Arabidopsis thaliana: one gene and its partners. The protein of the gene in region 3 interacts with the protein of the main gene of each other region in a pairwise test. Each region holds a gene or a part of one and is shown on either strand. Other genes may lie near its edges.

What was found.
Region 1: the proteins of AT2G23780 (region 3) and AT5G66830 interact in a protein complementation assay, tested with the Arabidopsis thaliana proteins (one large-scale study listed by BioGRID).
Region 2: the proteins of AT2G23780 (region 3) and RBK2 interact in a protein complementation assay, tested with the Arabidopsis thaliana proteins (one large-scale study listed by BioGRID).

The regions. Positions count from the first base shown.
Region 1 is NC_003076.8:26,686,939-26,694,456, forward strand, and holds AT5G66830 (F-box protein (DUF295)), read left to right. Parts: upstream 1-4,314; 5' UTR 4,315-4,365; coding exon 4,366-5,550; 3' UTR 5,551-5,751; downstream 5,752-7,518. Other genes in the region: AT5G66820 (uncharacterized protein), read left to right, coding at 2,159-2,226, 2,681-4,172; AT5G66840 (SAP domain-containing protein), read right to left, coding at 5,984-6,831, 6,923-7,037, 7,129-7,227, 7,330-7,435.
Region 2 is NC_003074.8:1,433,969-1,442,559, forward strand, and holds RBK2 (ROP binding protein kinases 2), read right to left. Parts: upstream 4,572-8,591; 5' UTR 4,232-4,571; coding exon 4,179-4,231; exon of another isoform or gene 3,924-4,178; coding exon 3,811-3,923; intron 3,678-3,810; coding exon 3,264-3,677; intron 3,164-3,263; coding exon 2,912-3,163; intron 2,825-2,911; coding exon 2,587-2,824; intron 2,511-2,586; coding exon 2,375-2,510; intron 2,277-2,374; coding exon 2,127-2,276; intron 2,020-2,126; coding exon 1,849-2,019; 3' UTR 1,716-1,848; downstream 1-1,715. Other genes in the region: AT3G05130 (paramyosin-like protein), read right to left, coding at 1-1,411; AT3G05150 (Major facilitator superfamily protein), read left to right, coding at 6,248-6,403, 6,517-6,579, 6,678-6,767, 6,894-6,953, 7,058-7,123, 7,260-7,325, 7,565-7,640, 7,765-7,829 and 4 more.
Region 3 is NC_003071.7:10,120,213-10,128,373, reverse strand, and holds AT2G23780 (RING/U-box superfamily protein), read left to right. Parts: upstream 1-3,737; 5' UTR 3,738-3,900; intron 3,901-4,130; 5' UTR 4,131-4,139; coding exon 4,140-4,823; 3' UTR 4,824-4,851; exon of another isoform or gene 4,852-5,336; 3' UTR 5,337-5,877; downstream 5,878-8,161. Other genes in the region: AT2G23790 (calcium uniporter (DUF607)), read left to right, coding at 919-1,470, 2,224-2,682; LYK4 (protein kinase family protein / peptidoglycan-binding LysM domain-containing protein), read left to right, coding at 6,294-8,132.

The DNA of each region.
Region 1 (7,518 bases), on a different chromosome or scaffold from region 3:
AAATAAGATGTTTACGGACAAAAAACATTCCGTAAATTTATTTATTGTTGTTGACAATGTAAATATTTCATTAAAATGAAAAGAGTTTGGTGATCTCTACAAACAATACAAAAAATCTGTTAGGTGAGCACTTTGGAGTTGAGTGAGTGATGTAAAAAGTAAACATTGGTTGATATCTGTATATACTACTACTCCACACGTGTGACTAAAGCTCGGTCGATCTTTTAAAAGTAATTTGTAACTACAAAATCAAATAAAATAAAATATCTTCGGAAGTTCTTATTCAAATCTTCTTTATTATTTGCAAAGTTGCTAGCATGCGACTGCTGTACATATGCTTTCCATGCTTGAGAGTCTGAAAGACATGCTAACCAACACAGAACTAGAAAAAAAAAAAAAAATACCTTTTTCTGGGCCGTATTAAAAAGTGATGGCCCGTTAATTTTCCATCAATATGAGCATCTAGTTAAAGCCCATTAGTTGTGCACAAAAAAAAAGAGTTAAGCCCAATAAAGGTATAATCGAAACCCATTTATACATCCTCCACTTTTTTGGTTTTTTTCCTCTCTTCTTTTTTCCTTTTAACATACATCCTTCGTTACCTTCACTATTCAGTGTCTGTAAATAACATATATAATATCATCATAACAATATTTTTTCAACTTCTCTTATTTATAATTCCATAGTTTGTTTGTTTTTTTTTATGGTAAAATACAACTCCCTAGTTTATATATTTTTTTTTTTCCCCTTTAACTTTTCATTTTATCAAAAAATGTTTTTAAAAAGAGTAGAGGACTCATAAAGCTTCGTACTTGTTTTATTTATATAATTAATAACTCGTATCAATGTCAATAACTATCATCCATCCCTTTTTTCTTCCTAGTTCAAAAACCTTTTAATATTGTTTGTATAAATATCTAGTTATCTACTATTAGACCATTAATACAAGAAAACAAAACTTTTAAACTGTAAATAGTGGCTTGATTTTGAATGACGAGACTTGTATGTATACGAGTGGGGTCTAGAATATTAGTCGCTGTCTAGTACATGGTTTAATGGTTCGGTTGGTGCAAGTAATTAATTATGAGAATCTTTGCTTATTTTTTAAAACTAATAATTCCACAAGTAAATAGTTTAATACGTCAATTATATATGTCTTTGTCTAATGAAAATTTTAAAACTTCCACTTAATTCTCAGCCGTCCGATCATCCAAGATGTGACCTTTTCATGGGCCTAGAACCGCGAATCGTAGCAATGTGGGCAACACGTCGAGAGGAATCTCTTAGACGAAGTAAACGCCGTTAGACTTCGAGATTCCCCGTTATTAACTCCGTTAGTGAGGCAACCGTTGGCAATTGTACCGGACCGTACCGGTTTTTGTCGTCGTACGCACACAAAAGTCCAACACACTCGCATAGCAACCCAAACATGTGTAACGCCGATTTTGCCCCCAAAAGTCTCATACGGATTCTCATGCCACGTTCCAAACAAAAGTATTTGGCTTTTTCTTTACTTTTCTTTTTTGCTATTAGTATATTTTGTTTTTGTTATATCATTTTAATTACACCAATTTACCACGAATCTCGTAATAATAATAGTATAATACTATACACATAATAGTTAATATCTTTATCAAATTTAATAAGCTTTTAAAATATTTTTGATATATAATTCATTGTTCTGTTTGTAAATGTATTTGTAGCTCACTCTGCTAGTAAAATTAAATTACAGCTTTAGCCAATTGAACTACAAAGTTTACCACTTGAAATATAAATAAACGGTAAGTATATGTAAAACAAAATAAAGTAGAAATACAATCACAAAAACTAAAAATTTGTCTTAAAATGTCATTATGTAAAGACCATTTTAAAACAAAAAAAAAGGTAAAAAGAAGACGACTGAATAATATTACGAAAGGACCCAAGCCAAAAGATTAACAGTTAGGTCATAAGAGAAGGGTAATAAAGTAATTTAAAGGAAGAGTATGTCATCTTGTTCCTCTCCTTTAATTTTCCAGTCTATTGGTCCTCAGCCTCCCTTCTCCTTCAGGTGGCGTTGCTCTCTCGTCCCCAAGAAAATCGCTTCTTTTATTTTTTTGTTTACTAAATCTTCACATAATCTTTTTAAAAAAAAAAGTCCTAAATTTCAGATGATTCGATGTTCTTTTCAGACATGGAGCGAAAAACCCTAGCGATTACGCCTCCTTCCTTCTTCTTCCACCTTGGGTAAATCCTTCTTCTTCTTTCTTCCTCACTTTATTTTATCTTTTCCCGATGATGGGTTCTTCGATTTTCACGAAAGTTTTAATTTTTTTACATCAAGTTCGAATCTTTTGTACTACTCTGCTTCTTCTATCACTTACTTGTTCTGGGTTTTAGTTCGATGTTTTCATAGAACAGTTTTAATTCAAGTTTCGCCTTTCGCTATCAATAGGAATAGTTCCTTCCTCTTTGTCTTTTTTCTGTTTATAGAACTATTTCTTGCTTCTGATTTCTTCAAATGACATTCTCTCTTTTGGGTACTATTCAAATTTTCATTTTGTTTTAACCCTTTTTCATTTTTGGGTGATTTTTTTTGTTTCCTAGAATGTTTATAGCTTTTTAAGTAGTTGGTGAATCCCCAAATTAATTTCATTGTTTGTTAAACCTCTCTTATGTGTTTGTGTTTATGTGTTAACAGAGGAGGAGCATTTGGTTCATCAAAGGCGTTTCATTGTCTTCTCCTTCTCTCATGTCTATTGCTTTCATCAGTCAATACATTGCATAACTTAGCTGAATATGGTTACAACACTGGTTCTGCTGCTATGGAGTTTCAGGGCTTTATTAATGGTGAAGATTCTGGGAGTGTAGCAATCCAGAAATCTGACCAGAATGTTTGTCCTAGTTCACAGCTGTTTTGTTTCCTTTCAGCTTTAGGATCAGAGAATCGGTCTGATCCATTTGTGTTGGCTTGTCCCAAAGAATCACGGAGTAGCTCTGCTCTGATCAGAAAAAATCTATCTGGTGTTGTGTGGCTATCTCTGAAGCCTGTCCACATCATAGAGTTTCAGCCATTTACTGGATTCTTTCACATTGGAGACACTTGTTACGAGCCTATGTCCAAAGAGCTCTATACTAAGAAGACCACAAGGGAGTTAAGTATTACGGTTTCAGGAAAACAATGTGGAGGAAATGGTTTTATGGTGAACCATCCATGTGAAGGATTTTCATTAGAACCAGGGGATTCCATAAAGTTTCTCTTTTTCTACCAGAGTGAACTCTCTTGGGCATCTGGAGTTGCTGTTTTTGCAGTACCTATGAAGGCGACCGCACCTGTTTTGATGCTTAGTCTCTACAAAAAACCGGTCTTTTGGGTGCGGACGAAGAAATTCGCAATTGCGGTTCTTATTGCTGCAGCTCTACTCATTCTGATATTTTGCTTCAATGATCACTTCATCGAGGAGAACAACAAGAGAAACAATAGCAACCACATGGAGTCGAGAGAAGTTGAGAAACCATCTACGATCACAATATCCCCTGAAATGGATTCTCTGCTAAGATCCATAAGCAAAGAAAGCCTGCAAGTGTTCGATGAGGTTCCCAAGAACAGCAGCAGCGTTAAGCCAGTTGCTTCTTCACACGAAGAAGAAGCATCAGAAGCTGTGAATCTCACTGTAAAGACAGCGAAAGACAAGAAGAGGCGCCGTAACAAGAAAAAGAAGAAAGGAGGAATCAACGGATTAACACCAGAGTGCACAGATGTTTCAAGCAGTTACAGCGGAAACTCAACTCCTAGGTCTCCAATATCACCAGAACCACCTACTACTCAAGCCGCAACGAAGCTAGTAAAGCCTCCTACTAAACCGGTCCTATCGCACTCAGCAACGTTTCCGGTTTCAGGGGTTAAGTCAATGATCATACAACGAAGCTCACTGGCTCCAAATGTGAGAGCACCTGGAGCGAAATCAAGAACCGAAGTGAAAGAAGAGAAAGCGAAAGAGTATAGGTACTATGATATCTGGGGAGATCACTTGACAGGGCTTAATTTGATGGATAAGTTAAAGGAAGTGAGAGAAGGTAAAAGCTCAGGTTTTGATGGAGAGGAGTGTGAGAGTTTCTTTGTTAAGGGTCCTCAGAACTTGTTAGCAGACTCTCACACCAGGTTTGTAAGTTTCTGTAACCAATGGGGCTAACAAAGAAATAAAGAATGAAAAACAAAAATATTTTATATAATAATGCAAGGCCCAATGGGCTTTCTGAGCAGCCACCAAGCCATTCCATTAGTGAGATATAAACACAAGCAACGTCAAACCTAAATAATGAATGTCACGTAGACAAGTTTCGACGTCTTTATAAACTTGAAGGGCTTGGTTAAGATTCCGTCCTATGGCCTCTCCGCTACTCCCTGGTCCACCGGATCAGAGAAGAAATCTCGATTGGTGCTGGTCGAAGCTTCCTTCAGATCTCATGCAATTTGTATTTGACCGCCTTGGTTTTGCCGATTTCCAACGTGCAAAATCCGTTTGTTCATCTTGGCTTTCAGTTTCGAGAAATTCTCAGCCAAACAATCAAATCCCTTGGATGATTCGATTCCCCAAGGACAACAATCACTGTCTCTTGTTCAATCCTGAAGAGGAAGACAAGATGTACAAAACTCCAAATCTCGGCAACGATTTCGCAAAGAGCTCTTGTATCGCCAGTTATGGAAGCTGGCTTTTGATGCAACCTGAATCAGAATACATGGAAGAAGACTTAGACCATCAATGTAATAATCTCTATATTCTTGATCTTCTAACCCGCGAGAGAATCAATCTACCGATTCTCCAACCAGAGTTTGGACTCACATGTCCGATATTATGGACCGATGAGAAAAGCAAAGATCACCTAGTTATTGGAATGGCTCATGAAGAATTAGCCATTTCTTTCAAGAAAGGAGATTCCTCGTGGAAACAAATCCCAACCTTGTCAGGTATCGAAGAGTGTTTTAGCATGGTTTTTAAGGATCACAAACTTTACTGTCTGAGCAATTATAAACTCAAGGTCTTCGATTTCTCTGGAGATATTCCGGTCAAAGTTTTCAAAACTAGCGTAAGTAAGTTGTTAAATAATCCACTATGTATTTCCATGAGAATGAGACTTCCTGGAATTCCAATGAAGGACCAGTTGAATCACTTCAAGGATGATATGGTAGTCACTCTAGCCGGACATGTCTTAATTGTTAAGTGCCATCGTCCGAGTCTGTCCAAGATATGGAGCTTTGAAATCTACAAGATGGAAGGGAACAACAACAAGTGGGAGAAAACTGTTTCTCTGGGAGACGAGACAATTCTTTTGGATTTGGGTATCACAGTGCTCGCCAAGGACATGCAAGGGATCAAGGCCAATTCCATCTACTTCTCCAATCCTACTCCTTATTTTAAAGATCAATATGACGAAAACGAAATCTTCATATTCGACCTCGATTCCAACACCGTTGAACAACCGCACCGATCTGTTTCCTCTTCCTTTCCCCGCTCTAGAGCCCGATGGTTCTTGCCATGTTTCAAACGAGAATCATACTTCCTTCAGTAATTTGTCTTTTTTTTAATGTATCTACGTATTCTTCATATCAAGTATTGCAACATTTAGTAATAAAGAATAAAGCCAACAAACGATACTTGCCATATAGAGTAATAATTAAGCCAAGAACACCATCCTTGATTACAAGGTAATAACTTTTGAGGACGGTCTCGGACCCTCAAGATGAGAGTGAAGGCAAAAAATCACACCCGTAAAAAAAAAAAAAAAAAAAAAAAAAAAAAAAAAAAGAGAAACGGATGATCAAGAGAATCATGAGCCTAGAAAACTTTCTTACGAATCACAGACAAGGGTTGAGAACCGATGATCAGGACGCTTTCCTATGGCCTTAGAACCTGGAAATTGTGTTGAAGTAAGTTTACTTGCAAAAGAGACAAGTACCAAGTTTGTATGATGATGAAAGATATTACTCACGAGGTACGGTGTGTTATCGATAATTTGGTCTGTGATTGTCTCCTTCTCTTCTGTTGTTTACCATGTACAAGTCCCTTGCCCCATGGTTGTAGCTACTATTGAAGTTGGAATGGTAGGTCTGATGGTTCATGTATGGCCCTTGAGTGACCTCACTCTGCCTGTATGTGTCTCCTTCTCTTCTGTGGCTTATCATCATATGCGAGAAGTGTTCCAAGTCCCTCACTCCCAGGTTGTAGCCACTGTTCGAGCTGACATGGGGGTTCTGGTATGGTCTCCTCTGATGAGTAACCGGCACAGTGTGTGTATTGACATGTGGGTTGAATGATGCTTGTCCCTGCGGAGCATTAGAGGCAGTTCTTCTGATGTAGAAAGCTGGTGGTGGTCTTTGGTTTGTTTGGTTTTGCTGTGTTGGATAAGTATAGGAGGCAGGTGGTGGTCTTTGGTTTGTTTGGTTTTGTTGTGTTGAATAAGTATAGGAGGCAGGTGGTGGTCGTTGGTTTGTTTGGTTTTGTTGTTCTGAATAAGTATAGGAATGATAAGGAGGAATATTTGGACGAGGAAGATGTGAATTGATAGGAGCGTACGAACGAGGAGCATGTGGTCGAGGAGCATATGTAGGAGGTGCATGTGAACGAGGAGCATGTGGTCGAGAAGTGTAGAAATTAGCGGGATTCATATCTGTCAACTGTGTTGGATGATTCTTATGGCCCTGTGAAGGATTTTGGTTTGGAAAAGCAACAAGTGAATGATTAGCGGGAGTGTTTTGTCTAAGCCTCTGGGTTAGATTCTCATCTTTCTCGTTTTTTCTTGTCTTTACTTGACAAGGCTTCTTCACATGACCAGGCTTTTGAAGTCTTCCATCTGGTAACAGAAACAGAAAGATCACTAAAAGAAACCTCTCATATATATATAAACACACCTCTATAACAAAGAAAACTAAATCATCTCTCACCTTTTAGTACATAGCCTGACTTAATTTTCCTTTCTCTCATAACCTTTCTTGCTGCGGCACCACGGTTATGCTTTTCGTTAAGAACTTTGACTCTGTCTTCTTCATTTGGCCATCGCTGGAATAAGAAATGGAGCAACCAACTGATAAGCATATGCAAACCGGCAAGACTCATGACTGAATATGAAAAAATAGAAAAGAAAACCCACCTGCCTCAAGGTCATTAACCTATAAAGATTTCGTCCTTTGACTAGTAATGGATACAAAGGTGGCAATTTCTGTGTCCCCTCACACCAGAGCACTTCAATCTATGATAAAGACACAAACCAGATAGTTAGAAGTTAGAAGAAACCAGGCAACAAGATCAGAGAATATAAAGATGATCAACAAACATTAGAGGTGAGACTTACAGTGAACGTGTGTTGTTGTTTAGCAGTACCATAGCTTTCTTTAACAACCTGGCCAGCGACAGTTCTTCTCCCCATAATATTTCCACTCTTTTTCATCTTTTCATACCTATTCAACCCCAAGATCATTGATTTAGGGAAACACAAAAAAAAAAAAAAAAGTGATAGGAGAAGTAAAAAGCATGAGTTTAT
Region 2 (8,591 bases), on a different chromosome or scaffold from region 3:
TTGCAACCATCTTCTCTGATTTCAAAACCTCTGCCTTAAGATCCTCTCCATTTCTCTTCTCCTCATCAAGTGCCTTATCAGCTTCTTCTCTCCTGAGCTCAACTTGCGCAAGAGCATTGCTTAGCTGATCAACTTTGCAGCTAAGCTTACCGTTAATCTTGGTTTGATCATCACAATTCTTTTGCAGCACAGCAACAGCATGAGTTAGCTCATCAGCCTTTCGATTCAGCTCAACAAGCTTCCTCTCCCGACTAAAAATACGCTCCTCAAGCTCAACTTTCTCCCGAGACAACTGGTCAATCAACTTCCCCTTATCAGATGACTGTACATTGAGCATCTCCATCTGTTTCTCAATCAAATTCTTCTCTCCTATTAACCTCTCAACCTCAGATTCCTTGATTGTCCTCTCTTTCCCTAATGCATCAATTTCCACCATCATTCCACTCTCTTTCTCCATAGACTCATCAAGATTCTTCTCCAACCCGATAACCAAATCCCTCAAAACCTTCTCTTCCTTTGTCAAACTCCGCACAGTCTCATTCAACTTGTCTAACTTTCTCTCCAGCTCCTCGATTACTCCTTTTTGTTCAATCTTTACAATCTCCATCTCATTCTTCTCACTTAAAAGCACTTTGATCTCTCTCTTCAATCCATCAATCTCATTCTTCTTCTCCTCCATTATCTTCTCCAGACCAATCTTCTCCTTCTTTACCCCTTCAATCTCCTCTTCTCTCACCTTCCTCTCCTTCACCAATCTCTCATTTTCAGATTCCAATTTCCCAATCACTATCTCCAAATTGGATTCTTTCTCCTCCAAACGAACTACACACTCCTTCAATCGATTCACCTCCTCATGCTGTAAATCAAACCCATTCTTGATTAAGTCCCTCTCATCACAAACCTTCCTCAACTGTTCCTTCTCAATCTCAACCTTACCCGTAAGCTCAATCGCTTCCCCTTTCAAAACCCTAATCTCACTCTCTCTATCACTCTTCTCCTTCACCAACATATCAACTCCAACACACATCTCTCTAAACTGGCTCTCAACAAACACAATAACAAAATCCAATTCAAACTTCAACCCGAAATTCTCATCACTCACCTGATCCAACTCGTCACGCAACCCAGTCTTCTCCTGACAATAACGAGCTAACTCGGTCTCCAATTCATCCTTGGCCTGAACCAGCGAATCGATCTGGTTTCTCTTCTCCATAGCTTGTTTGAGAAGCATCGCATTAAGAGACTTCAAATTCTGGAATTGCTCCTCCGAAGAATCGTGTTCTTCCATGGAAGACTGACGGCTAAGTACCGTGGCTTTCTTGTCAGTCTCCGGTGCTTTCTGGTCATGTTGTTGTTGTCGGTTATCATTAGCGGTGTCGTTACTGTTACGCGACGCTTTCTTCTTGGCCATCGTTTTGAGGATTCTCGAAGGTTGCAAAAAAAGTGGTGGCGGTGATTAGGGTTTTTTGAGGATTTCGATGGTCAGTGTGAAGAGAGACGAAACGTCTTTGGGGGTAAATTTGCAAATTCAAAATTCAGGGCCCAGATTTTAAGATTTGATTTATCTTATCACATCAGTCTTCTCTGTTTTTAGATATTTTCGTAACGTAAATCCAACAACGTTGCACGTGACTGCCACGTGATACTAGTGACTAGTGAGAGTGATTATAAACCGAATTTAAGCTGGAATTAAACCGGTTTTAATTTAGTTTGTTCCATTCCCATCCATAAACAAATTTCAGCTATTTTGATCACATAATAGTTTTTTTTGGTAATTTTTTCCAACGATTTACATTCACCAATGAAAGAAACCAAAATAGTTTTACATAATAATAATTTGGATCGATTTCAAGAGGCTAAAGCAACCTCTCGAATGCGATCAAGATCTCCCAAGTACTTAGTGGAGTTATATTCTACACTATCTAATAATTCTTCGGAATACGTTCGTTGCATCATCTTTATCTTCGCTTCTCTTGGAGTCATTACGACATCTTCGTGGCCTAGTAATAATTCCACAACCTGGATACATTTAAAGAAACAGTATCAAAACCGGAACCAAAACGAATTTGACATTTGGTTCTTTCCCACTTTGAAACCTTAACCGGGATGGAATTACAATATTATACCTGGCTCATCCGGGGTCGTAGAAGAGAAGATTGATCGATGCATAAAGAAGCCGTGGAAGTTAACCGGATAAGCTCTTCTCGGTTATACTCATCTCCAAGAGATGGATCCACCAATTCTTTTATAGCTTTTCTCTCTAGCAACGGCTTAGCCTGTAAGCAAAAAGGAAACGTAACTCGTACCAGACTGATAAAAGGATAGTGAACCGGTCCGGTTTAGCCTCAAATGTCAAACTGGTCTATATACTCACCCATAAGACAAGGCTCTGCTGAGACTCGTCAAGGGCAGGATGTCCGGTTATGAGCTCCAAGAGGAGAACTCCAAAAGCGAAAACATCAGTCTTCTCGTCCACGATTCCGTGCATGAAATATTCAGGTGCAAAGTACCTAAAACATTGTCCAACCAAATTCTCAACTGAACCACATAAAAAAAAACTTTTCCTAAAAAATTTCAAATTGTTACCCGAATGTTCCCTCAAATTTGGATACGTTATGGTGTGTCAATTGCTTGGGAAGCCATTTGGCTAACCCGAAGTCGCAAATCTGCGGTTGAAAATCTTCGGTGAGAAGAATATTATCAGCTTTGATGTCTCGATGAATGATTCGTCTTTGACAACCCTCATGAAGATACACTAGTCCATCTGCTGTTCCTAACGCTACATTGTAACGTCTGCTCCAAGTCAGCTTATATTTTGATGGTCCTGTACAAATTAATTTGAGCATTTAGATATGATAAGCTTAAAAGCCCGATATGTATATCCGTTAAGTTTATGGGTGGATATAGAAACCATGGAGGAGAGAGCCTAAGCTTCCAAGAGGAGATAGCCGGAACACGAGATGCATTCCACCCTCGATGCAACAACCGATGAATTTGGCAGTGTTAGGATGATCAACATGAGCAATAATCCCAAGTTCCGATAGAAACTCAGCTGTTTGCTCGTCCGGTGTGCCTTTTGTCAAACGTTTCACAGCGATTAGCTTTCCTTCCGGTAGAATTCCCTGGTATACATCGGCGTAACCGCCTCTACCGATAATGTTTTCTGCATAGAAGCGTCGTTTTAATTGCAGTAATAGTAGCAACCAAACAGTCCTTCAAGTAAAAAAGAAGAGAGTATATTGTTATGAAGATAAACTCGATACCTGGACTGAAATTGTCAGTTGCAATTTCGATGTCAGATATTGAGAAGTTTTGGAGAGATGATTGGAAATCGTAGATATCGTGAAGGACCATGCCATTCATGTTTGGATCTGCACTTTTGTTTTGTTTGATGATCGGTGGGGCGGCGCCACTTAATGGAGGAAAGGAAGAGAGGCGTTTCATGGATCTGCGTTTCCATAGCTTGAAGAATTTTCCCCAATTAGAAGATGCTCTGTGATTCTTGCACTGTACGTCTGTGTCTGCATCTGCATTGTCGATAGCTTCTCTGTTTGGAGGAGGATCGTCAGATGAAGATGAAGCGGAAGAGATTGAGCAACGAGTTAAGCAGGCTTCGAGGGCTCCTCTTGGTGATTTGGGGTCTTGCTTCTCTTTATCTACCTCTAGTAATCTTAGATCTGGGAGGAGAAGGGAGAGAAAACGTTGGAAGAAGCTAGGTTTTTTGGTGTACAAGCAATGAATAAGAATACAGAGGACAAGAGAAAACAGAGCAAACATAGAAACAGAGGAAACAGAGGAGCTAGGTTTTACCATGAGCTGAAGCAGAATTCATAAGAAACGCGTTGGTTCTTTTATGTTTTGACGTATGATTTATGTCGTTTGGATCTTCTTCAGTGACATAACTTGAATATTTAGAGTTGTACCTGCCTCGGGAGATTCAAAAGAAAAGAACAGACTAAACATGTCGTTCTTATGTAAATTTTGCGGGAAATTAAGAGAAAATCGGTGAAAATTCAGGGAAAGTTCGTTAATTCTGCTTAAACGTTCGTTAAGTATCAATGAAAATCATAACAGAACAGAAGATAAACTTCTAGACATTAATATCATGTCTACCAAAAAAAAACTCAAATCAAATATAAGAACAAACAGAGAAAAAAGTGATTTGATTGAATGATTACATTGGAAGAGCACAACACACGGGAGAAGCTTCTTTGCTTTGGTCTACCGCCATGAAAGAGTGTTGGTAGGACACTTTTAAGATTTTCTCAGAAACCTGAAAACCTAAAAATAGAGAAGAGGATCATAGAAAGGAAATAGAAAGAAGTTAACATTTAAACCAAAAATAAATAAAAATAGAAAGAAGTTTTGAAGTTGGTGTTCGTCTCGAGACACCCGAAAGAAAAGGTTTTGTCTGTGTGTTTAAAATTTGATTTACTAATTTAATTGTTTTCCGTTGACCAATGGTATATCTACTAGTAGTTTTTTTGTTAAGCTAATAGTTAGACTCTAAAATGACTAAATCCTATATTTGGCAATATGCTTTTGATTTTCTCTTTTTGGATTGAACTCAGAGGCATTCTCTTAGCTTCATTCATTTATGGCAGAAAGGGTTAAGGGTCCTTAAAAATCGCTTCATCTGTCGGTCTCGTTATCCAAACTCATATTCCTAATTTAGGTCTTTTAAGGTTTTAAAAAACTACTTTCTTTATCTTGTTGATAAGGAATTTATAAAAGATCAAACTTGAGTAATCTAAGTAGTTTTAGTTTTACTAATTTCATTTACTGTTACTAATCAATTGTAGATATTGACATTCTTGTATATATTGCGACCTGATAGTAATTATCTTTAATTTTCTATATGTTTTTATTCAAGTAGTACTCTGTTTTGTATTTTCTTTCTTGTGAATAGAATATTTTCTGTGTGTATATGATGCAGAAAGCCTGCATTAAAACCTGCATTGGCTTTATTGCTTTGCACCGTTTATTTATTTTTATGATTCTTATTTTTGTGATTAACAAATATTATTTCAAGTGACTCTTATATAAGTTTTGGATAGTTAAACCACGGACCACAATCATGTTGGAAGTGATTGTTCAATACTTCATTGTTGTATAAGAGAGGGGACATCGATCATTTATGTAAATCTTGTTAGGTACTGTTCTGTTCTATCAATCTATCAATAGTCCCTACGCTAACTTTCTGTACCCTCGATTAAATAGGTTTTTGCTCAATGACGCTGGGTCCAAATTGTAATGACTCAGTTCAACTTCCGCGACAAAATCATTTTCATAGATTTTGATGATTTCTATAGTGGGCGGTTTTTTCTATACATCTTACATTCGCAAGAATTTGAATGATATTAGCCCATATGACGAGAAGAAGAATAATTCATTACTTATGTGGTTAATGCGGAGTGGAAACGAATATCTCATGGCCAACTACAAATCCAAATACTGTCTTTTGAATCCCTGTAGTTTTATACTATATGATCTAGAGTTTTTTTTGGATTTTGTCTCCCAAATTAGAAATTATTATAGTATCAACTATCCATCACATTTATAGAAAAAAAAAAAAAAAAAAACTATCCATCACAGCTTGGATCTTGCGGTGGGCCAGGAAAAAACACATGAGCATCGGATCTGTGGAAAACAACTGTCTTATCGGGTCAAACCTTTGAGTCAATTACACGTTACTGTGCATGTCATAAACCATCACCAAAAAGGAAAACAAAATAACAAACCATGCATCTTACTTACCCAGTAACACAATGCATCCATAATGTACATAGTATTTGTGAATTTTTTGAGGAAAGTATTAGTGAATATTATTACTATGAAATACCATGTAATTACTTCTGAATTATCTTACTTAAGAAAATTCAAGTTTAGTCAATCAACATTAAAACTATAGAGAACCCCCAACGTGTAATAATGCATTGGGAGTTGGGACTTTCATAAAATCTCGAATAAATTAATTCAAATTGTCTAATTCGTCCAAAATTATCCTGCATGGGTTTTAGCTAAGCCAGCCTAGCTACATGTACTGATTTATACAGAGATAAATATAGACATGATATATATCAATAAATTAGGAACAAATCAGAGTTTTTAGATCTAAAAACACGGTGCCTTCTCATTTCCTCCGGTGAGTTATCCAAATCTTGTGTTTCTTATCATATATCCTATATTTTATCTACATAAAAATTGATAAGTATTCGTTGAATTCAAAGGGCATTTTACGAAGAAAATGGAGACAAGAAAAGACGACATGGAGAAAAGGAACGACAAATCCGAGCCGTTGCTGCTGCCGGAGAATGGATCCGACGTCTCAGAAGAAGCATCATGGATGGTTTATCTAAGCACGATCATTGCCGTTTGCGGTTCCTACGAGTTTGGAACATGCGTAAGATTCTTTTACGACACCTATTACTTTGGAAATAAAAGATGATGAGAACCTAAGAATTTGTGACGATTAATCTTTTTGATACGAGAAAATCTGTGTTTGTTTTTTAATAGGTGGGATACTCCGCTCCAACACAGTTTGGGATTATGGAAGAGCTTAATTTATCATATTCCCAGGTTTATATTAAATTGATTAAGTCTTCTACGTTTATAGATGCATGTTTAACAATATTTTGCTTAATCTTTTTTTTTTTTTTTTCTCTATTGGAATCTAGTTTTCGGTTTTCGGATCGATATTGAATATGGGAGCAGTGCTCGGCGCCATTACATCGGGGAAGATTTCTGATTTCATCGGTCGGAAAGGGGTAAAACCTACCTAAACAAAATTGTTTTTATCTCAATATACACACAATAAATCCTAAGAAAAATATACCATTTTTACGAAATATAAAATTACTTTTTGGCTCACATGGTTTTTGTCTTTGAGACAGGCCATGCGGTTGTCTTCAGTGATCTCTGCCATCGGCTGGCTGATAATTTACTTGGCCAAGGTTATTCTTTTGGCTGAATTTCTTCAATAGCTGTTTTCAAAAAAAGCTTTAAAATAACATGGAAAATCTGCAACTAAATAGTGATGTTTTTTTTTTAATATTAGGGTGACGTACCTTTGGATTTCGGAAGATTTCTAACGGGTTATGGTTGCGGTACCCTTTCCTTTGTGGTACGACATTTTCATAAGCATTTTCCCCTTATGGATAAAAAGCCATGCATAGTGTTATAAATTAATCAATAAATAAAAATTCCTTTTTATATATGAAACTTTTTGGAAATCCACATTTGGCACCGATTTTGTGTAGGTACCGGTCTTCATCGCCGAAATTAGTCCGAGAAAATTGAGAGGAGCCTTAGCGACGCTTAACCAGGTGATGATGATGTCCTTTTATTTACTACTGCATTAGAAAATGTACTGATTACAATAGAATCAGAGCTAGCATATGTGTTGGTGTTTTCGAGATATTTGACATTGTATCACAAATTAGGAGTATTTTGTGGTCAAAAAAACAAAAATCAAAACAGTATTTAGAGTTATTTAAATCTTTTAAAAGACAACAAAAAATTATTGTTTTATTTCTGAAATAAATTGAAATTGTTAATATTGCAGCTCTTTATCGTAATCGGATTAGCTTCTATGTTCCTCATAGGCGCCGTCGTAAATTGGAGAACTCTTGCACTAACCGGTAAACTTGTTTGTGCGGTAGCTGAACCGGAAATATTTGTTGTTGGTTTAGTAATTATACAAAATTAGATGGTATAAAATTTAATTTGGGTATAACAAAACGAGGTTTAATTAACCAATTTCAGGAGTTGCACCGTGCGTGGTTCTATTCTTTGGGACTTGGTTCATCCCTGAATCACCCAGATGGCTGGTAAGATCAACGATCGTAACTCAACATATGGTTGAAATTAACCTCTTAACATTAAAACCAAAAAAAAAACTAACCGACCCAACTCATATGCATTTTGCGTTTCAAGGAAATGGTTGGCCGCCACAGTGATTTTGAAATTGCGTTGCAAAAACTGAGGGGTCCTCAGGCCAATATCACAAGAGAAGCCGGGGAAATTCAGGTACAATCTAAAACCAGAAAATCGGTTTTGTTACGTGACATGACATTTTTCGTGTTTTGAATTCCGGTTTATAGGAGTACTTAGCGAGTCTTGCTCACCTCCCGAAAGCCACATTGATGGACCTTATTGACAAAAAGAATATTCGATTTGTGATAGTAAGAATCTCTAATTCCATTCAACCGATTATAACTATTTCCCGGTTTGATTTGGTTAAATCTTATTTTTCTATCTATTCAGGTTGGAGTTGGTTTGATGTTTTTCCAACAATTCGTTGGAATTAATGGCGTTATCTTCTACGCACAACAAATATTCGTATCAGCAGGTTATAATTCGAAAATGATCTAGCAAATGTTATAATCTAACATACTCCATTTCTAGACCATTCATCGGTTTTTGTTCCATTTTTGGAGTACCAGGAGCATCCCCAACTCTTGGAAGCATTCTATACTCGATCGAACAAGTCGTTCTCACAGCACTAGGCGCAACATTGCTAATTGATCGGCTTGGAAGAAGGCCACTTCTTATGGTATGGTTCTTGTTTCAGTTTCCAATAAATCCTAGAA
Region 3 (8,161 bases):
TTCTTGGTATTGTTGTTCTATACTATATGTTTCTCGTACATTGGAAACCATAACTCCATACTCGAATAGAAAAAAAAAAAATTAATCTAATTTTAAGAGAAAGGTTTCTTTTAAAAAAAAATTTTTCCTTTTAAAAAAGTCTTTTTCCTTTTAAAAAAAAATTTTGGTAAATCTTTTTATGAGTTATGTGTATGAGAATTTTTGTCTCTACATTTTGGAGTTCGATTTTCGTTTTAGTTTAGGATGGTGAAGTATTTACAAAAAAGAAATCTATTTGCGAACCTAAATATCGAATAATCGTATCTTTAGATGTAGATGGATTAGTACATATCGTGATATCGATAGATCCACACATAGTTTGTAACAAAAATTATCAAAATGACTACTAGTAAAAGTGTATTTATCAAAATAATCTAGTAGTTAGTTAAAGTTGATTTAAAAAGAAAAGGAAAAGTATGTGGATCCACGTCAGGTTGCGTGCACGTAAAAGTCTTTTCATTCCCTAGTTCTTCTGCTCTGTTGCCGTTGTGAACAAATTTAGGTTTCTAAAAACAAAAACTAACACTTGTTTTGGGAAATCGCTATAATCGAACGGCTACGATACCACCGCAAAGCTATCACCTCTACCAACCCGAACACGTGTACGTCTCTCATCACTTCCACATTTCTCGCGAGAAAAACCAAAAGAGTTTCGTAAAAAAAACGAATATTCCTGCTGTAATATTAATTTCTCGTGTACGTTCCGATATACGCTGACGTGTACGAGTCTCTTTATTTTTAGGTTTAAAAAAACAATGTTATTATTTGTAAACAGTATATAAACCCTTTTAGTCTCTATTGTTTCATTATTCAGTCGTAAAATAAAACCGAATTTGATTTTTATTTTTCTCTCTCAAAGTTTTTCTTGGGAGAGCAACAATGGCGATGAGGAAGCTTTTATCGAAGAAACTCTTCAATATCACGAATGTTGCTTCACAGAGTCTTATGAATTGTCGCATTTCGTCTTCTTCGTTAGCCGTACGAACCAGAGTTCCGAATGATTCAACAGATACAACCAAAATCGCACCGGAGCCTGGAGATTTGGCGATGTCGCGAAGGTTCATGCATAACAGTGCTATGATTAGGCCGGCGGAGATTATGCAGATGCCGGTGGGAGAGAGTTTGATTGAGAAACTCCGTGAGATTGATGGAAGCAAGGATCGGATTCGATTAGACGGACTTTCTCCGCCGGAGAGGGAGACGAGTTTGACGGTGGCGGATACGAAGAAGCTGCTTAGAGCGGCGCAGATCGAGATTGTGAAATCGAAGCTAAGAGAAACGGGAAGAAGCTGGATGCCGTATAAGGAGTTTGTTAGCGTTTGTGGTGAAGCTTCTTCAGATCCAGATCTCGGATCTAAAATCGCGAAGATGCTTGATGATTCAGCAAACGTCATCGTTTTGGGAGATTCCGTTTGTATTAGACCTGATCAGGTACTTTCTTCGTTCTTCTTCTCTAGCCTTTTAGCATTTTGAAATCGTGCTTTGTCTCTGAGATCTCTCTGAGTATTGCAGCTGATTGATTGGGAGAGATAAGAGAGAGATTTAAAAACTCTCTGAAAAAAACGGATTAGGTTCTCAAAAGTTTTTGTTCGATTTTGATTTTGGAAGCTATACCGAAAACTGATACCATTTTTATTCGGTTGGATCTCTTTTCTTTTGGTTCCAATTCAACAGGAGAATCAAAAACCTCTGTGTTTTTACCAGAGTTCCATAGGAGGTTCCCAAGTTTGAGAGAGATGGTGATAAAGAGGAACAGTTTCTACAGAGACCACAACTCTTTTTTTTTCCCCTAAAAAAAAAACCATTGGTTGGATTAGGGTTATAAATTGAGTCAAGACCCTTTGGTGATTTGATACCAAAACCTAAACATAAAAAAACTTCAAAAGAGAGAGTTGAGAGAAGCTTACTAACTGGTTCTTGGGGGTTATTAGAAAGTTTATAGAGATGATGATGATAATGGGTTGGGTTTATGTGGAGGGATTAGTCAATAGTGGAAGATCTTAACCAGAAACAGGGATATGGGGATGGATTGATTGACTTTATAAACTAGTCATTGATTCATAAAGATGTATTTTTGTTGTGTGTTTTTGAGTGTGCTAATTGTGTGTCTCAAAAGAAGGTGGTGGAGGTCTTGTTTTACCCAGACATTTTCTGTTTTTGTCTTTTGCTATTGTGTTTGATCAGGTTACCAAATCCATTGAAGGACTGCTTCCTTTGCCAAAGATCCATAACCCAAATGACCCTCGGAGAATCGAGTTTAAAGAGCTTGAAGCTGAAAAGGCAGTGATCGATGTGAAAGCTCACACTTTGGTGCGGAAAGAGCTTTGGGCTGGTCTCGGTTACTTGATCCTACAGACTGCGGGGTTCATGAGGCTAACGTTTTGGGAACTCTCGTGGGACGTGATGGAGCCAATCTGTTTCTATGTCACGTCCGTGTACTTTATGGCTGGTTACGCGTTTTTCCTCAGGACATCGAAAGAGCCTTCTTTTGAAGGGTTTTACCAAAGCAGGTTCGAGGCGAAACAGAGAAAGTTGATGAATGAGTATGAGTTTGATCTGGAGAGGTATAATGAACTGAAGAAGCTGTTTTGCTCTAAGCCTTCGGATCATGTTTCCAAGATTCTTGGAGCTATCAAGAGTTAAAATTTTGATTAGGGGAAAAATTGCTTAGATTCAATGTTGTTGTCACAAATGGTGTCTGATTTTACCTAACTAGAGAATTCTACCCCAAAAAAAAGTAAGAAAAAAACGAATGGGTACTACTCTCAAATTTTTCAGTTTTCGAAAAAAAGACAAAGAGGTTGTTCTTATTATTGCGGCTTATGTAACATCAGCGAAGAGTTATGTTTTTGTTTTCGATTTTTATTTTTTATTTTTTTTATTTTTTTATTTTATGACCGATCTAAAATTTAACATTGTGTAAATAAATGTTTGAAGGTGTAATATAATACAGAATTAATTATCTGCAGATTTCATATTTGCAAAAACTAAATGAGATCTATTTTTTTCTAACAAGCGTTTGTGAAAGTACAACTACATTTATAATTTCGTTGTCATGTTATAAATCGAATCAAATCCGATAGCGTGATTCTCCTCCGTAATGGGACGGGTTTTTGTCACATAATAAATTAATAATATCCTTTCATAATTTATTAATTTTAATTAATAATAGTGGAGAATTGACCTTTTGCTATTAATTTTTATGAATCCAGAGAATTAATACTATTGAATAAAAAAACATTTTTTTAGCTCACCAAATATTGGAAAATATTATAATTACATATATCAAATATATTATTATATCATCAGTTATATAAAATAGATGTACATATTACATGACCTTGTGTATGAAATATACGTTGTCATGTATTTAACATCATAGATATATAATTTTGGTATACAGATAAATTAATTTTAATGAAAACTAACACTAATCGATCGGCGTTCACCAACAAAAATATATATCAAACGTTTAGGTTTGACTCTCTGCAATTTCTTTTCCTTTAAATTTTATAATCCTTCGGGAATCTAGTTTACGTTTAAAACGAGCTTTTGGCATCATTTTATCTACCAAAATGTGTTGTTGTAGCTAATCAGGCCCAATATCAGTTTAGAAATTAATATAATCGGCCCAATAATTAATCAAAACTTCCAAAGAAAATATATGGAAAAAAAACGAGAAAAACCAAAAGTCAGATATAGCCTGGAACTTTCTTTCCCAACAACAGTAAGACTCTGTTTTTTCCCAAGATGTCTGGTTTCCTCTTTTGTTTCGTCCAAATCTCTACTTTTTAGGGATCTTGTCCTTCTCTTTTCTGCTGATTAAAACCCTCGAATTTGCTCCAATTCGACGCGAAAAAGGTAAGTTTTGCTCTTTAATTTCACTTTAGTTCTGATCCATGGATCTGCAATTGATTCGATTTGCCTTTGTCGGTTCAAATTCAAATCGATCGTCTTCGTTTCTAATTTGAGAAAGATTAGGTTTTTAATTATGGGTTTATTAGGGTTTGTCCAATCTTATGATTTAGAGCTTTTGATTGATTCGAATTTAGGGTTTTTGATTTGATTTCAATTTTTTTTTTTTGAATTAGGGCATTGAGATGGTGAATGGAGAATCATCAACTAGTACGTCTTACTCTGATAGTAACAATGACACAAATGATCAAGGAGGAGACTTTGAATGTAACATTTGTTTCGAACTAGCTCAAGATCCGATTGTCACTCTCTGTGGCCATCTCTTTTGCTGGCCTTGCTTATACCGTTGGCTTCACCACCATTCACATTCTCAAGAATGTCCGGTTTGTAAAGCCGTGGTTCAAGACGATAAGCTTGTTCCTCTTTACGGTAGAGGCAAGAACCAGACTGACCCGAGATCAAAACGTTATCCGGGTTTACGGATTCCTAACCGACCAACAGGTCAAAGACCTGAGACTGCTGCTCCTCCTCCTCAGCCTGAAGCTGCGAGTAATTTTTTCAACTACGGTATTGGTTTGATGGGTGGAATTATGCCGATGATGGCGACTACGAGGTTTGGGAATTTCAGTATGGGGTTTGGTGGTTTGTTACCTTCTTTGTTTAACTTTCAGTTTCATGGATTTCATGATGCTACGCTTTATGGTTCAACACCGGGTTATCCTTACGGTGGTTATCATAACGGTTTCCGTGGAGTTCCTCCTCGTGGACAAGAGCGTCCTATGGCTCGTGGAGGAAACCAAAGTGATGCATTTCTGAAGAATATCCTCTTTTTTGTTGGAATCTGTGTGGTGATATTTCTCATCTGGTGAAAACGAATCACATTTGGTGTATTTCCAGGTATGATCAAACTTACTTACTTGGTGCAAGTTGTGTATGTAAATATGGTAATAGCTGAGTGTACTTGTCTGCTATTTCGACGTTGTTATTGTATTTTTGTTTTGAAGATGAACCGTGAGTCTACAAGCTTTTTTACACAACTCTTTTGTTGCTTTTGTGTTTTGTCTAAGCATCTTGTGAAAACTAGTTGTGAAATAAATGGTGCGTGTTATGACATAAGAAGTATTATGCTTATAATATTTGATAGATCATTACTTTCTTTGATTCTTTAAGGTTGATAGATGCTAGCTTTTATATAGAATATAGTTTTTAAACTGATTTCTGCTTTATAAACGAAGAACAGACGTTGAATCTAGAACATGAAAAGCTCCCCTTAAATGTGAACCAGATCAGTGGCTAAATTAATGTGTTTAGGAATGATTTGCTGTGTCGGTTTAGTTGTTTGTTTTAACAACTCTATTTTAACATAGAAAAGCTGTGTGTAGTGCTCTGATCTCGTGAGCATTCTTGTGCGAGACTAAGCTTGTTCTTGTGAGTTGATTCACGTAGTGGACTGCTGGGACAGAACATGACGATAAGGGAATCACACTCCGCGATTCTTGTTCTTCTTCTGATCTCTCAGATCTCGAATTCACTCTGTTTACTCGATAGTTTGTTAGGTGTTCACACATTGCTAGATAGTTGTAGATTGATGCTAAATTGCTAATATCGAAACAGTGACCCTAGGGATGACTTCTAGAGCATCACTTACCCGTCCTTGGCTTAAACCAGTCTCAACTACCTCTCCCTTTGTAAATAAACTTTTCAACATGTAAAATGTCATCTTCTGCGTGACGGCGTTGCAGACAACAATGACCACCACTATAGGTAAGTTTTGCTTTAGTGCTATTCCATATTGTTGTTCTGACAATAATAACCTAGAATCCTTCATGGTTTGAGCTCATGTTGGGTCGTAGTGAGAATCAAGAAATGACCAATCTTTTTCTCAGCAGTATGATATGAATATGAACATAAACTGGATACCACCCATTTTGCGTCGGTGATTGCGTTTAATAAGACTTTATTTTCAACGCCCTCTCGCTGAAAAATTATTAGCAACGTCATACATCAAAAGTTGTTACCAATGAATCATTTTAGTTGGTTACTGTCGGAATTAAACCAGAAGAGATGAAGAGAAAAAAAGACAAAAGCCTTTATGTCATCCCTCTCACGTCGTCTTTGGCGGCTTCAAAGCCTTCATATGATTCTGAATCACACACAAAAAAAAGAAAACAAAATCAATGGTATGAATATAATAATTTATCCATTCCAATAATTTAATGAACCTAAAATATTCATTTACTCCAAGAAACAGCTGACTTACTAGAAACAGTTGACTTTTCTTCTTCACCATTCCTATAAACCCAATCAGAAACTTCGCAACCAAATCTTACAGAATCACGATGATCTCGTTTTCATTTCATCTCCTCGTCTTCATCCTCCTAAGTCTCTCTTCCTTCGCAACAGCACAACAGCCTTATGTCGGAATATCAACAACTGATTGCTCTGTTTCCGACAACACAACCTCTGTTTTCGGCTACTCTTGTAATGGTCTCAACAAAACTTGCCAAGCTTACGTCATTTTCCGATCTACTCCTTCTTTCTCCACCGTCACCTCAATCTCTTCCCTCTTCTCTGTCGACCCATCTCTCGTCTCCTCCCTCAATGACGCTTCACCTTCAACTTCTTTCCCTTCTGGTCAACAAGTCATTATCCCTTTAACTTGTTCTTGCACCGGTGACGATTCACAATCCAATATTACATACACAATCCAACCAAACGATTCGTATTTCGCCATTGCTAACGACACTCTTCAGGGGCTTTCGACATGTCAAGCTTTGGCAAAACAGAACAATGTTTCTTCTCAATCTTTGTTTCCTGGTATGAGGATCGTTGTTCCGATCCGTTGTGCGTGTCCCACGGCTAAACAGATCAACGAAGATGGCGTGAAGTATCTGATGAGTTATACTGTGGTTTTTGAAGACACTATCGCGATCATCAGCGATAGATTCGGGGTTGAGACGAGCAAGACTTTAAAAGCTAACGAAATGTCTTTTGAGAATTCTGAAGTTTTCCCTTTCACAACAATCCTGATCCCTTTGGTGAATCCTCCTGCAAATACTAACTCTCTCATTCCTCCTCCTCCTCCTCCTCCTCCACAATCGGTTTCTCCTCCTCCATTGTCGCCGGATGGTAGGAAATCGAAGAAGAAAACATGGGTCTATGCTCTTGCCGGAGTACTAGGAGGAGCATTGGTTTTGAGTGTGATCGGTGCAGCCATATTTTGCCTGTCTAAGAAGAAAACGAAAACGCAAACGCAAGAGGAAACGGGAAACCTCGATAGCTTCATGGGCAAGAAACCACCGATGTCTGATCAAGAATTCGATCCGCTAGATGGTTTGTCAGGTATGGTGGTAGAATCCTTAAAAGTTTACAAATTTCACGAGCTGCAATCAGCTACAAGCGATTTCACATCGTCTAGCTCGATTGGAGGATCAGGGTACATCGGAAAAATCAACGGCGATGGCGCAATGATCAAGAAAATCGAAGGAAACGCATCGGAGGAAGTCAACTTATTGTCTAAACTAAACCATCTTAACATCATCCGTCTCTCTGGATTCTGTTTCCATGAAGGAGATTGGTACTTAGTCTACGAACACGCTTCAAACGGAAGCTTAAGTGAATGGATCCACACGACGAAATCGTTACTAAGCTTGACACAAAAACTACAAATCGCTTTGGATATAGCAACAGGGCTAAACTATCTACACAACTTCGCTGATCCTCCATACGTTCACAGAGATTTGAACAGCAACAATGTGTTCCTCGACCTCGAGTTTCGAGCAAAGATTGGTAGTTTAGGTTCAGCAAGATCAACGACTGAAGATTTCGTGTTGACCAAGCACGTGGAAGGAACAAGAGGGTACTTAGCTCCGGAGTATTTGGAACATGGTTTAGTTTCAACTAAGCTTGATGTCTATGCTTTTGGAGTTGTCTTGTTGGAGATTGTTACTGGTAAAGAAGCTTCTGAATTGAAGAAAGAGATCGATGAAGGTAAAGCTATTGATGAGATTTTGATTCATGGAAGATTGTTACCTGAAGGATTAACAAGTTTTGTTGAGAGATTAGTGGTGGATTGTTTAAAGAAAGATCATTTGAATCGTCCATCGATGGATGAAAATGTTATGTCTTTGTCTAAGATCTTGGCGGCTACGCAGAACTGGGAAGAATCGTCGTACTAAGTTTAAGGCCCACTATTGTTTGGGCCCAA